3 linked regions of the Ovis aries genome follow. The protein of the gene in region 1 interacts with the protein of each later gene in a pairwise test. Links are inferred from orthologs where the notes say so. Each region holds a gene or a part of one and is shown on either strand. Other genes may lie near its edges. The genes, in order: NCKIPSD, PSMD9 and STAC.

The links.
Region 2: the proteins of NCKIPSD (region 1) and PSMD9 interact in binary tests that used the Homo sapiens proteins (3 or more experiments, as listed by UniProt). The two-hybrid records come from large-scale screens. The link is inferred for Ovis aries from reciprocal best matches to the Homo sapiens genes NCKIPSD and PSMD9.
Region 3: the proteins of NCKIPSD (region 1) and STAC interact in binary tests that used the Homo sapiens proteins (3 or more experiments, as listed by UniProt). The link is inferred for Ovis aries from reciprocal best matches to the Homo sapiens genes NCKIPSD and STAC.

What each region holds. Positions count from the first base shown.
Region 1 is NC_056072.1:51,240,116-51,244,248, forward strand, and holds the start of NCKIPSD (NCK-interacting protein with SH3 domain), read left to right. Parts: upstream 1-1,316; 5' UTR 1,317-1,413; coding exon 1,414-1,584; intron 1,585-4,117; coding exon 4,118-4,133. UniProt on the Homo sapiens protein: Has an important role in stress fiber formation induced by active diaphanous protein homolog 1 (DRF1). Induces microspike formation, in vivo. In vitro, stimulates N-WASP-induced ARP2/3 complex activation in the absence of CDC42.
Region 2 is NC_056070.1:53,464,576-53,468,584, forward strand, and holds the start of PSMD9 (26S proteasome non-ATPase regulatory subunit 9), read right to left. Parts: upstream 2,807-4,009; 5' UTR 2,779-2,806; coding exon 2,641-2,778; intron 1-2,640. UniProt on the Homo sapiens protein: Acts as a chaperone during the assembly of the 26S proteasome, specifically of the base subcomplex of the PA700/19S regulatory complex (RC).
Region 3 is NC_056072.1:10,158,955-10,162,992, reverse strand, and holds the start of STAC (SH3 and cysteine-rich domain-containing protein), read right to left. Parts: upstream 2,811-4,038; 5' UTR 2,712-2,810; coding exon 2,601-2,711; intron 1-2,600. UniProt on the Homo sapiens protein: Promotes expression of the ion channel CACNA1H at the cell membrane, and thereby contributes to the regulation of channel activity.

The sequences.
Region 1 (4,133 bases):
CCTCTTGGCCACACCATCTGCCAGCACTCCTACCCAGCCCTGGAGCCCACTGCAGCCATGCCAGTGCCATCCTTCATATGGTTCCAGCCGGGCAGCCCCCAAGAGAGCTGTTTCTGCTCTGTTCTCAGAGGGTTTCAGGGAGAAGTGTGGCACGAGATCTCGAACTGCTGGCACAGGCATGAGGGAGAAGGACCCGGAACTAGTGCCAAGAAAGGAGGATCTGGATGTCCAGGTCTAGCAGCCCCACCTCTTGCTTGAACCTCTCAGCACCTTCTCTCCCAGGTCCTGTGCCTATATCCACTATATCCAAAATCACCCACCTGCATACACTGGCCGGGTTGTGCCTACCTGCTCCCTGGGTCCAGGCTTCCAGAGAAGAATGTGACTGGACCAGTCTCTGGACGGCGATGGGTGGTCCCCAGAACTCTGGGTTTATTGAAACCCAGGTACCCTTGGTTTTCCCTGCTGCTTCATAGGACTACAATGACCTCCCCAGGTCAGGGCTGACTGGAAGGTGGGCCAGACAGGCTCTTAACGCCACATGGTACCCCAATCCTCATCCACCAGCCCTTCTATCTGCTCTCAGAAGGAAGCATCAGAAATAAAGATAACGGATTTGTAAGTCTCCAAAGACCGCAGAAGAGAGTGATGTGGAAGTGACTGATAAGGGTGGGAGCCTGACCTTATGCTGTGAGGAGGGAAGTAGTGTCCCAGGCAGAAGAATGGATATGCAAGGACCCACGTTAGAGAGGAAGAGAGTAGTCAGTGGCAGAAGAGAAGCGACGGGGACTGAGGATGGGAGGACTATGGGCAGCGAAATGGCCTGACCTGGTTTTTGTTTCTGCAGCCCCCTCTCCACTCTTGCTCCCCGTTGCCCACCGCTGGCGCTTAAAGAAGTGAGCTCAGCACGCCTCGAGACACAAGAGACCCGGGGTTGCTGTCCTTAATTTAGTAGGTCAGGATCCACTTCCCTGGGGTGGCATAGATGCAAGAGGCTTATCAGCACAGGACACAGGCTCTGCCTTTGGGCTGCGGGCGAGCTCTCCTTTGTGAAGTAGGGTGGGCCGCAGTACTAGGGCTTGAGCCGGTAAAAGGAGTGGAGGGCCGGGCAGGAGCAGCTGGGGCTGGGGGCTCTAGGCGGGGTGCCGGGTCAGGGAGTCTGGAGCTTGGAGAAGACAGTCCTCGGAAAGGGCGGTGGACTCTCGAGAGCCGCGCCCCTCGGGGCCGCCAGGGGGCGCCGCGCTCCCGCGCAGGAGCCGACACTGCCGGGGCGGGACTGCGGCGGGCTGGCGGGCGCGCGCGCGCACGCGCCGTGTGTCACGGGGCAGGGCGAGCACGGCGAGGAGCTGCCGGCCTGGCGTCCTGGTTCTTCAGCCCCGCGCCGTCTCCCCTGCCCCGGCGCGACTCGGCCTCATGTACCGCGCGCTGTACGCGTTCCGCTCGGCGGAGCCCAATGCGCTGGCGTTCGCCGCGGGCGAGACCTTCCTGGTGCTGGAGCGCAGCAGCGCGCACTGGTGGTTGGCGGCGCGGGCGCGCAGCGGTGAGACCGGCTACGTGCCGCCCGCCTACCTGCGCCGCCTGCAGGTGAGTGTGCCCCTCCCCGGCCCGGCCTCCGCCGCCCCTAGACTGAGCTCCATCACCGGCCGGTCGGGACCTCCAGCAGATGAGGACTTTGAGAACCTGACCGAGAGACCCCGCGGGGACTGGGACCCTGAGAGCCCGCTCCCTCCACAGAGGACCAGGCCCTTGACAGCCAACTCTTGAGGACTCCAGACCTACCTAAAGCCTAACTCTGGGACCGAGGCCCCAGACCCCACATCTGAATCCCCAGCCGAATACAATTCAAGAGTCAGCCCCGAGATTCCAGTACACCAGATACTGAGCAGTTCCCCAGGTCACGGAAACCCCTGACTTAATTGGCCCCTCGCCTGGATCACCAGGATCCCAACACTCTTGCCTCCTCTTCCACAGCTTCCACCCCTGAGACCCCCGGCAACCCTGGGCACTTTCTGTTTCCCCAGCCATCTTCTACGTCTTCACCCTCCCATCCCACCCCCCCGCACTTGGACCAGGAAGCCGTGTACACCCCCATCCCCTAAGTGACCCCCCAAGCCCTGAGACCTCAATATCTTTTATTGTCCTGTACTTATTCAGCCCCTAAGCTCTTCCCAAAACACTTTCGTCAATCTACTTTGAGCCTGGGTTCCCAGCTCCTGCTGACACTCCCTGGCACTACAAGCCTCAGGCCCTGACTTTTCAGACTTCCTTTCTTGGAAAGTGAGGGAGCCTGAGCCTTCCTTGTCCCCAGCCTAGGGTGGGAGCTGCTCCCTTAGCAAGGAAGTGGGACTTCCCCACGGCTTCCCCTGGTGTGGCCATGGCTCCCCTGTTTCCTTCCACTGGAGGTACAGCCCCAGTTCCTGTTTCCCCCAGAATAGACCTGGTGTGGGGGTTGGGCTGCATTGTCTCCAGCTGGTCTATTCTGATCTCAGGGGGAAGGAGGGCCCAGAGCCTCCAGGCCTGCCCTGTGCCAGACACCCCCGCCCCATCCTAGTCTCTGGCTGAAGGAAGCATCCCAAGCCGGCCCAGTTCAGGACAGAAATAACAGGATAAATTTGGAGATGTCATCTGTGGCTTTTACCCGAGGGGATGGGCCCGGGGCCCTGGACCCTTGGCCTCGTGGCATCCAGGAGTGCCTGGGTGGGAGCGGAAGCCTCGGACACCAGGGCTGCTGGGTCTGGAATTGAGCATGTCAGAGCCAGTCTCTCTGGGGCTGGGGGCTTGTTGGAGGCCTCCAGGGAAAGTCCTCCACTTTCCCCCAGGGCCTGTGAGGCCCCTCGCCTGCCTTGGCTATTGGGGCTGGGTGTTTGGGGAGGGCAGAGAGGGTACCACCTTCTCTGTCTCTTGGTTTCTTGCTGCGTGTCTCCCTCCGTCTTGGTCTCCCTGGCTGTCTCTGTGTCATTCTGACTCTCCCCTTGTGTGTGTCCACATCCTCCAACTCTCTCCCCTTCTCTGTCTCCGAATCTCAATTTCTTTCTGCGCTGTCTCCCTCTGCTTCTCTCTTTTCCTCTCTCTCTCTCTCCCCCTCCCTCTCTCTCTCACCATCTTTCTTGCTTTCTGTGCATCGTCTGCCGGTCTTGCTCTGTCCCCTTTTCTGTCTGCTATCTCCTGCACTCTGACATGCCCCCTGTTACCTTTGGGGCTCTGCTGACCTCTGAGTCCATCTGTCTGTCCCTGTCCGAGAAGCCTCTCCAACCCACTCTGGTGTGATCTTATCTTAGTTCTGAGGCCCCTGTGCCTGATGGACCATGGGTGCCAAGGGCAAGGGAGGGGTGCGAGTGACTGGTCCCGCAGTTGGCAGCCCCCTACTCCCCCCACCCCATGCCAGCCAGGCTGGGTCAAGGGGACCCCTGAGCTGCGGTGGATGGCGACACAAACTCTGGGGCAGGGGCCAGGTTCCACGCTTATGTCTGTCTTCTGCCACAAACCCAGAACTGCTGTTCCCCAGCACAGCTCTGGAGGATTCCTTTCTCACAGCTAGAGGGGATGAGGGCTGGCAACACGGGTCCAAAGAGGAGGTCCCTTTGGCCTGTCCTCAGCTACCAGGGCCTGCAGAAGGCTCTCTGAGGATGGGGCTGTCCTGGAGTGTGGCCTTGGTTTTGTGACGGGTCAGAAAGATCCAGAGGGTTTTGTTCAGAGCTCCAGACCCTAGAGGCTCCCTGCTTGGCACCTCAGCCTGGGATCTGAGCCAAGCCTGGCGATAGAGTTAGTGTGCACTCCTGGCCTCAAACTAGGGGTCTGTGGGCTGTGTGTTTGCTTCAGAGCCCAGACTTTCAGAGATGACTTAGCCGAGAGCCTCACCATAGGTAAAATCGCGAGCGGGGGCCTGATATATAAAGCAGCAGCCTGGGCCCCTCCCTGTGGCCCAGCTTCCCAAGTGACGCAGTTTGAGAGCCCCGATTGATATCTAGTTCATCTTGCTGTGTTGGTCTCTAGTATTCCAGGCTTTGAGAGCAGCTGTGGCCCTCTGCCTGCGCCAGGCTCCCTCCAGGGCTGGCGCTGGCCTCCGTGCCCTCACCTGGCCCCCAGGGCTAAGAGCCCACTCCTGCCCCCCTCACAGGGCCTGGAGCAGGATG
Region 2 (4,009 bases), on another chromosome or scaffold:
AACTCCTTGATTTCACACTGCTGGTCTCCACAACTGAGAGAGGATAAACTTCTGCTGTTTTAAGCCACCAAGTTTGTGATCATTTGTTACGGTGACCCCAGGAAACTAATACACACAGAAAGTAATAAATGAGGGCTGTAATGATCTGCACAGAGACTAACTGCTGAGCATACACAGGTTCCAAGGGGAGGGATTCCATTCACTTCTCTCCCTTTCCTTCTGAAAGCCTGTGGGTTACACTTACTGTTTTCTGTTCATGGGGAAGGGGGTCTCGTATACTCCCTTAACCCAGGACTCTCTATAGATACGGTATAAATGTGCCAGGGGCTAATATCTGTATCTGCCTCCTGTATGCTCACAATGATTAAGAGTTGACTGGCCTTCCTGATTGCAGTAAGGCAATACTGCATCAGAGACTGGTTTCCAACGTTGGGACCTGGGCCACTGGCAACTCATATACAAGGCATTTAATAACCCTGAATCTAAAATACTTATTCCCTTTCCAAATATCATCAATCCTCCAGTAGTCAAAGAAAAAGTCGTGCTGGTCTCCATATTATCTCCAGATCACTTGTTATATCTGGGCCTCTCCATTTTTAAAAACAGCTTTATTCAGATATAATTCATACACTATGCAATCCACCCATTTAAAGTGTATAATTCTGAATGTCCCTGGCAGTCTGCTGCTGCTGCTAAATCGCTTCAGTTGTGTCCGACTCTGTGCGACCCTACAGACAGCAGCCCATCAGGCTCCCCCGTCCCTGGGATTCTCCAAGCAAGAACACTGGAGTGGGTTGCCATTTCCTTCTCCAATGCATGAAAGTGAAAAGTGAAAGTGAAGTCACTCGGTCGTGTCAGACTCTTAGCGACCCCATGGACTGCAGCCTACCAGGCTCCTCTGTCCATGAGATTTTCCAGGCAAGAGTACTGGAGTGGGGTGCCATTGTAGTTAAGAATTCTGTGCTTCCACTGCAGGGAGCACAGTTTCCATCATTGGTCAAGTAACTAAGATCATGCTGCGTGGTGCAGCCAAATAAATAAATGTACCATTCAGTGGTTTTTAGAATATTCATAGAATTATGAAATCATCACCACAATCAATTTAAAAACACTTTCACCACCATCCAAAAAGAAACTCTGACCCACTAGCAGCCACTTCCATCTCCCCCTCCCCTCAGCCCCTGGCAACCACGAATCTACCTTCTGTCCATGAATTTGCCTATTCTAGATCTTTCATATAAATGGAATCATAAAATGTGTGGTCTTTTGTGATGAATTTCTTTCACTTAGCTTTCAAAGTTCATGATCTTTTGTAGCATATGTAGCACTTCACTGTTTTTTATTTAAGTAATATCCCATTGTATGGACAGACCACATTTCATTATCCATTCATCAGGTGACAGATACATGGATAGATCACCTTTGGGGGGGGATCACTTTCATTAGTTCATATTTAAGGAAAGAGATTCTTATGTTTTCATATGCTGTGAAGTTACAAAATTTCCTTTAAAAATAAGATTAAGTAAAAAAATATGGGTTAACTTAAAGGAAAATAACAAGGGAGTAACAGTACAGGAGGTATACAGACACAGCATCCTGTCTGCAGTAGAAAAATAACTCAGGTGTGAGAAACCACTTGAAAGCACAGATTCTGGATTCCCTAGGCATAAGATCTAAATCTCATCTTGTGACTTCCCCTTTCTGAGTCCCAGAGTAACATACCAACTTCATAGAGCAGTTAAGAGGATTCCAGGATATAGCATACACATAAACCAGCTCAATTCAGGCACACAGTCAGCACCCAGTAAAAGGGTACCCTGGCCTCCACATGATACTTCATCTTATAAGCATCACCTACATTGCACTTCATCCACCCTGTATAGAATGTAATTCATTTACTCTTCCTCGGCAAATTGATTTGTGGTTTTACGCTAGGTGGCTTAAGAAAAACTGTATCCGTTTTGGAGCCAGAGAGGCCTGAGAACTAACCCCGTCACAGCCACTTCCGACGTACAGGACCCTAGGCAAGGGTTTGCCCCACTCTTGGCCCCAGTTTCCTCCTTATACCGTAAGGATAATAAACCTTTCCTGTTATGTTCTTACACCAGTGGCATCAGCATCGCTGGGAATTTGCAGAAATGCAGTAGCTGTTCCCACACACCCGTGCATCATCAGAATCTGAATTTTAATAAGATCGCCAGGTGATTCGCGTACACATTAAAGTTTAAGAAGCTCTAAGGTAAAGTGGTTACAGGACATCTGGTAACTGTACGACCGATGCCAGAGATGATTATCACCCTGCCTCTGCAAATTTATTAGCCCTGAAAGAGGCGGACACGACTGAGCGACTGAACTGAACTGCGACTTCAGGCAGGTTTAAGTAATGTCTCTTTCTCCATCCCTAAAATGGGTGAAATAATAGAACTCACCTCAAAAGATTATTGGGAGGATTAAATGCGTTAACCAATGTGAAGCGTTTAACACAGCTCCCAGTGAGGGCTCCATAAATGCTTGCTAGAACATCGATTCGAATCCTTCCTAGTTATTCACGTTACTTGCCTCATTGCCCGGCCTGGGGCCGCGTCAGGAATGCGTTGCGGGGCCTCCCAGCCCGCCCGGGAGCCCAGTTCCCACACTCACGCTCTCCAGCACTTCATAATTGGCTTTGATCTGGGCCTCGATCTCCTCCTTGCGCCGTATCAGTTCCTGAATGTCGCTGACAGTTACACCACTGGCCTCCGAGGAGCCCCCACTCTGACTCCCTGCCTTCTCCGACATTGTGCACGTCTACCCGGGACCTAGAACTGCCGGTTTCCCGGCCGCGGACGCCCGAGGAAACTGTAGCTACGGCTCCGCGCGCGGGCCAAAACACCTCGGCTGTTCGCGGGAGCCCGGAAAAGTAAAAGGTGTGGTTTTGTCTGTGGGGCGTGGTCACCAGAAACCACACCCTGCTGGAACAAGTGGTCCTGTGGTAACTCTTGGCGGGAGGTATGAGGACGGATGGATTCCCAGTCCCACCCAAGCGCTGGCCCAGACCAGGGCATGATGAACTCTCTCTAGTTGACTCGCTTTCTTTTCTCATTCATTCAGCTATGTATTGAGCGCCTCCTGTATGCATGGGGCAGCGCACTGTGCGTGGCGCTCCATTTCAGCTCTGCATCTACACAGTCCTTGAGGGTTTACATAATACTCAGATTCCTGGTTTTACAAAGCCTATAAGCTTGGGTTGAAATCCCAGCTCTTGCCTCTTACTGCCAGTAGTGGCCTAGATAAATCACTTCACTGAGCCTCCATTTCCTTATCCGTGAGTTGGTTGGCTATTGATAGCAATCTATCTCATAGTGTTGACATTCATATGACATATGATATTCATATGACATAGTGTTGACCTGTTTGCAAAATGCAAACAAGTATTTATTGAATGCCTCCTTTGTGTCATACACTGTCCTAGGTGCTGGAAGGGCAAAGAAGTGGGCACTGGACTCAGTGTGTCTCATATTAAGGTCTCTATAAATATCAGTAAAAATAGTATTGATGACAACAATAATATCAATACTAATAATTTATCAAATACAACGCATTGCACTGTTCTAAGGGCCCTATGTGTATTAATTCAACAAATTTGGGACTCCCCTGGTGGTCCAGTGGCTAAGACTGTGGGCTTCCAATGCAGGGGGCCAGGGTTCAATCCCTGGTCAAGGAACTAGATCCCACATGCCTCAACCAAGAGTTTACATGTGGCAACTTAAAAAAAGATCCCGCATGCTCCAAAGATTTGAAACTCGGCGCAGCCAAATAAATTGTTTTAAAAAATTCAACAAACTCATAAACCAGGATTATTATTACTCTCATTTGACAGGTGAGAAAAATCATCTCAATGACTCACTTGCCCAGCTAGCAAAATAAGCAGCCCCAATTTGAACCCAGCTTAACCAAAAGATGACACAACCTCTTAACATGTTCCCACTGACATTTTGCACTGAAAAAGACACACCATCACCTACCTAGT
Region 3 (4,038 bases), about 41 Mb from region 1:
GTAGTTGTTACTCTTATCAGGAGAGAAAAAAAGTTATTTTAAAAATGCATAGTGAAATCTCATAATCAAAACAGATGAGCAAATATAACCAAACAGAAATAGACTCGTAGATACAGAGGACAAACCAGTAGTTGCCAGAGGGGAGGGAGGTGAGGTGAATGAGTGAGTGAGGCGAAGAGGATTAAGAGGTACAAGCTATTAGTTATAAAATAAGTAAGTCACAGGGTGCGATGGATAGCACAGGGAATACAGTCAGTAACACTGAGTTAATTTTGTATGCTGATTAATCTAGAACAACACGGAATCGCTGTGTTGTAGACTTGAAACTAATACAATACCGTAAGTCAATCAGACTTTAATAAAATAAAAGAAAAAATGAATTTCAAAAGTCCTTCTTGAGAAAGGTTACTGTCCAGGGGGGCTAAACCATGCCTGTCCCACATGGTATTTTGACAAACAGATCACTTCAGAGGGGAGTAGTATGGGATGACGAGCTGTCCATGTTCTCCTACCAGACACTCGTTGTCAGATGGAAGATCCTTGTAAACGCCAATAAACCTTCAAATGTGGTGCTCCTGGTGCAGAATGAATAGAGCCTGCCTCTGTTCCTGTTTCTTGCCATCCTGCTGATCCCTACCGCACAGCCTCCACATCAACAGTTTAGCCCTTTTGAGAAGCATGGGGCCCCTTGGAGAGTATCAAAAACACTATGCCAAAAAAATTTCACATTCAGGCACAGTACCTTGCATTCAGTTTCTTGGGGTTCATGGACAACCCCCCATAGCCTGTCTCCACTGATTAAGAACACCTAAGCTATGACAGCACATTTAGGAATATATAAATACACATAGAGAAAAACCGACGCGCACAAGCCTGAAACCATAAGCCAGATAAATTGGTGGATAATGATGGGTATTACATATGTAGTCTTTGCTTTGCCAAAGAATTTACATTAGGGTATCTATAAATAGCAAGCCCATACAGTGTGTTTGAACCATGCTGCTATAAAATCAAATGCTAAGCCCCTTCCAGAACATACCTACTGCAGAGCAACAGGCCCAATTATAAAAGCTGATTATTAGTTTCAGTCTTGAGTTTAGTTACATTCATTTCCAGGATTCTAGATCACCTGTGAAGTGCCCACTACCCCGCATCACCTAGGTGAGGGACCGTCAATGGCACACAATGGTAGAGAGCCAGTAACATCTGATTGCAGGGGCAGTGGTCCGTGTGTGGGGGTTGTGAGACCCATTTGGAGTGAATTGTCTGTGGTGAGATGGATCCCATCTCCTTATCTCAGGAAGGAAAACAGTGAATAGGATTGAGTCCTTACTCTGTACTGGGTGGGTGTTAGGTCATCTCTCTCTGCCTCTCAATGATTCTGGAAGGTGGGGTTTTTGCCCCTGTTTACAATTAAGTTTTAGAAAAGTTGACACACATGTTCCAGGTCAGACATTTGCCCCCAAAATAAAGATAATGCCAAGCATTATCTTGGCATTGTCTTGGATTAGCATCTCTGATGGTTAACCTTCAGAGGCTGGGATACTGTCCAGAGGGCAGGATCACTTAGGATGGGAGTCACTTAGCTATGCTTGTGATCCTGCTGATTTGCTGATGGCTTCCAGGGATGGGTGTGAAGGCAGAAAAGGACGAGACTCTTCCTGGCCCCATCTGACCTGCTCTCCACACTGGCATCCTCCTCTCCTTCATTCCTGCACAAGAACTGCCCCACATTCCAAAGACACCCAGGGAACCCACAAGGAGGTCTGGAAAAAGAGCCAGGAGCCCTGCGCTTAAGGAATCCATATAACTACGAACTCCATCTTATGGTTTTTACTCCCGACTGAGATGCCATTTGGCATCGCACAGCTAGCAGCCGCATTTTACTTGATCCTCTTCCAAGATTTCCAAACATGCGCCTGGCACCAGTGAACGTTTCAGAGTAAGTGTAACAGTGACGGAAGTGCCGCGGGGTTGACTTTGTGTGTATCAGTGTAACTCTCACAAAAGCAAGTTTAAGTGCGAGGACTAACTTCCACGAGAGGATCATCAACTTTCCCGAGAAGGTAGCATTTACCTAATTTTTCTGAAATCAGCGGTATCCGAGGTTAGGGATGAGTCCGGTTAGCCTAAGGGTCTCAGGCCCTTGGGATACAGGCGAACCTTTGCTGGTTCGCAAATGCCCCGGCTTTTCTGGAGGAGTGTCCTGGGCTGTCTGTCCCTCAGCCTTCAGAAGCCGCCTAATACCCACACGCGCTTTAGGCACATGCAGGTTCAAAGCACAGAACAAGCACGCCACCACCACCCAGGAAAGCGATCCGAACCCGGAGCCACTGTGAACTGCGGGTGCTCGCAGGGCAGGAGCCCAGCGCAAAGCCCCGGGGCCGTGCGGACAAGAAGACTGGATCCCCAGCGACGTGGTCCAGCATCGCTAGCAGCGAGTCCTGCCGGGCATTCAAATCTCAAGGGAGCACAGTCCTTGAGAAGAACTAGGGACGCGTCTTAGCCTCCGGCGCCAGCGCCAGTAGGGAGGAAACAGAGGTGGACAAGAGAGGAAGAGGAGTGAGTTTGTGTCCTCTCGGGGCAAGCGTGCGCGGTACCTTGGATTCCTGACTGCCGGTGGATGCAGGAGAGGGCGGCTGCTCGGCGCTCGCCGTCTCCTTGGGCAGCCCGTCCACGCCGTCCTCGCGGGCGCCGCTCGGGGGGATCATCGTGGCGGCGCGGGAACGGTGTTGGGCTCCCGGAGGAACCGCGAGGCTCGCCTCCCTCCGGAGCGCCCTCCCCGCCGCGCGCAGGCTCGCTCAGCTTCTGAGGCCGGGGACTCCCATCCTCGCCCAGGCGCCGCCGCGCCCTCCTCCGGCCTCGCCCCCGCCCCGGCCCTGCCCACCTCCCGGCGCCCGCCCGGGCTGGGGGAGAGCGCGCCCGCGGCCACCTCGGCGACGACCGCACAGTCGTGACTGCCGCTCGGCCGCTTGCGAGTGGGCTCCGGCTGACCCGCTCTCCGGAGAAGGGTGGGTGGGGGTGGGTGGCTCCGGGGCGGGGCTGCGCGGGCCCTCGCGGGGAACAGCAGGGGGCCGCGCCCTAGGGAGGCCCTGCGACCAGGCTGGGCGAGCTCGGGTGCTCGGCACGGTCCCGGGATGCTTTAGGAGGTAGAAGGAAAATTCAGACCAAAGCCCGAGTGATCCAGCGGGAGGGACCACCTGCAGCAACTCCCTGCTTCTGCACCCGGAGAAACTGCGACTCTCAGGGAGCCGGGATCCGGTGACTTAGCCAAGTTATTTATAGGGTTCAGTGACGGAGGAAGCAGAGCTGGGGTTTCCTGGCCTGAGGGCGCTCCTCTTTCCTCGGTTCAGCTTTGGACTGAAGCAGAGAGAGACTGCAAAACGTGGATGTGCCCTAGTTTGGTTGTGCGTTTATGTGTTAAGCCGGTCACACTTTTTACATATTTAATCCTCAGAGCCACCCTATTAGGCTAGGTGTTATTAATATCATTCTCATTCATAGATGAGAAAACTAGGAGACTAACTAATCTGCTCTAAGTGGCTGAACTATAAATGGTGGAGCTGGGATTTGAACCCATTTTGGCTTCAAAATCCATGCTTTTTGGACTGTGGGGCCTCAAATCCAGGCCAAATCTTCTCAGCTGTGGAGTAAGTGGGTATTGCAAGATAGCAAGAATGTCAGGGCTGTTTGCGGAGGGGCAAACCAGGGTGTCTTAGCAGATCTTTTGGAAACAGAGAGATGGCCCCATGGAATAAAGGGGCAGAAGGACCTGGTACCTTTTGAAGAAAAACCTCGATGTGCAGGGGAGGAAATACATCTGGATATTTAAACCATCCTCTGCCCCCATACAAAACTGCTTAATTTTCTAACAGGCAACTATAAACTCATGTTCAGATTTTATTTATTAACTATAAATGTTTGCAAGGCCAGCTTCATGGTTTTACTGAATGCAAGCTCATGTGCCCAATGCACAGTGAAGCCAAACCAGCTGAAAAGTCGGAGTTTGGGGCAGTACTCCAGGGCTTGTGAGGAGAC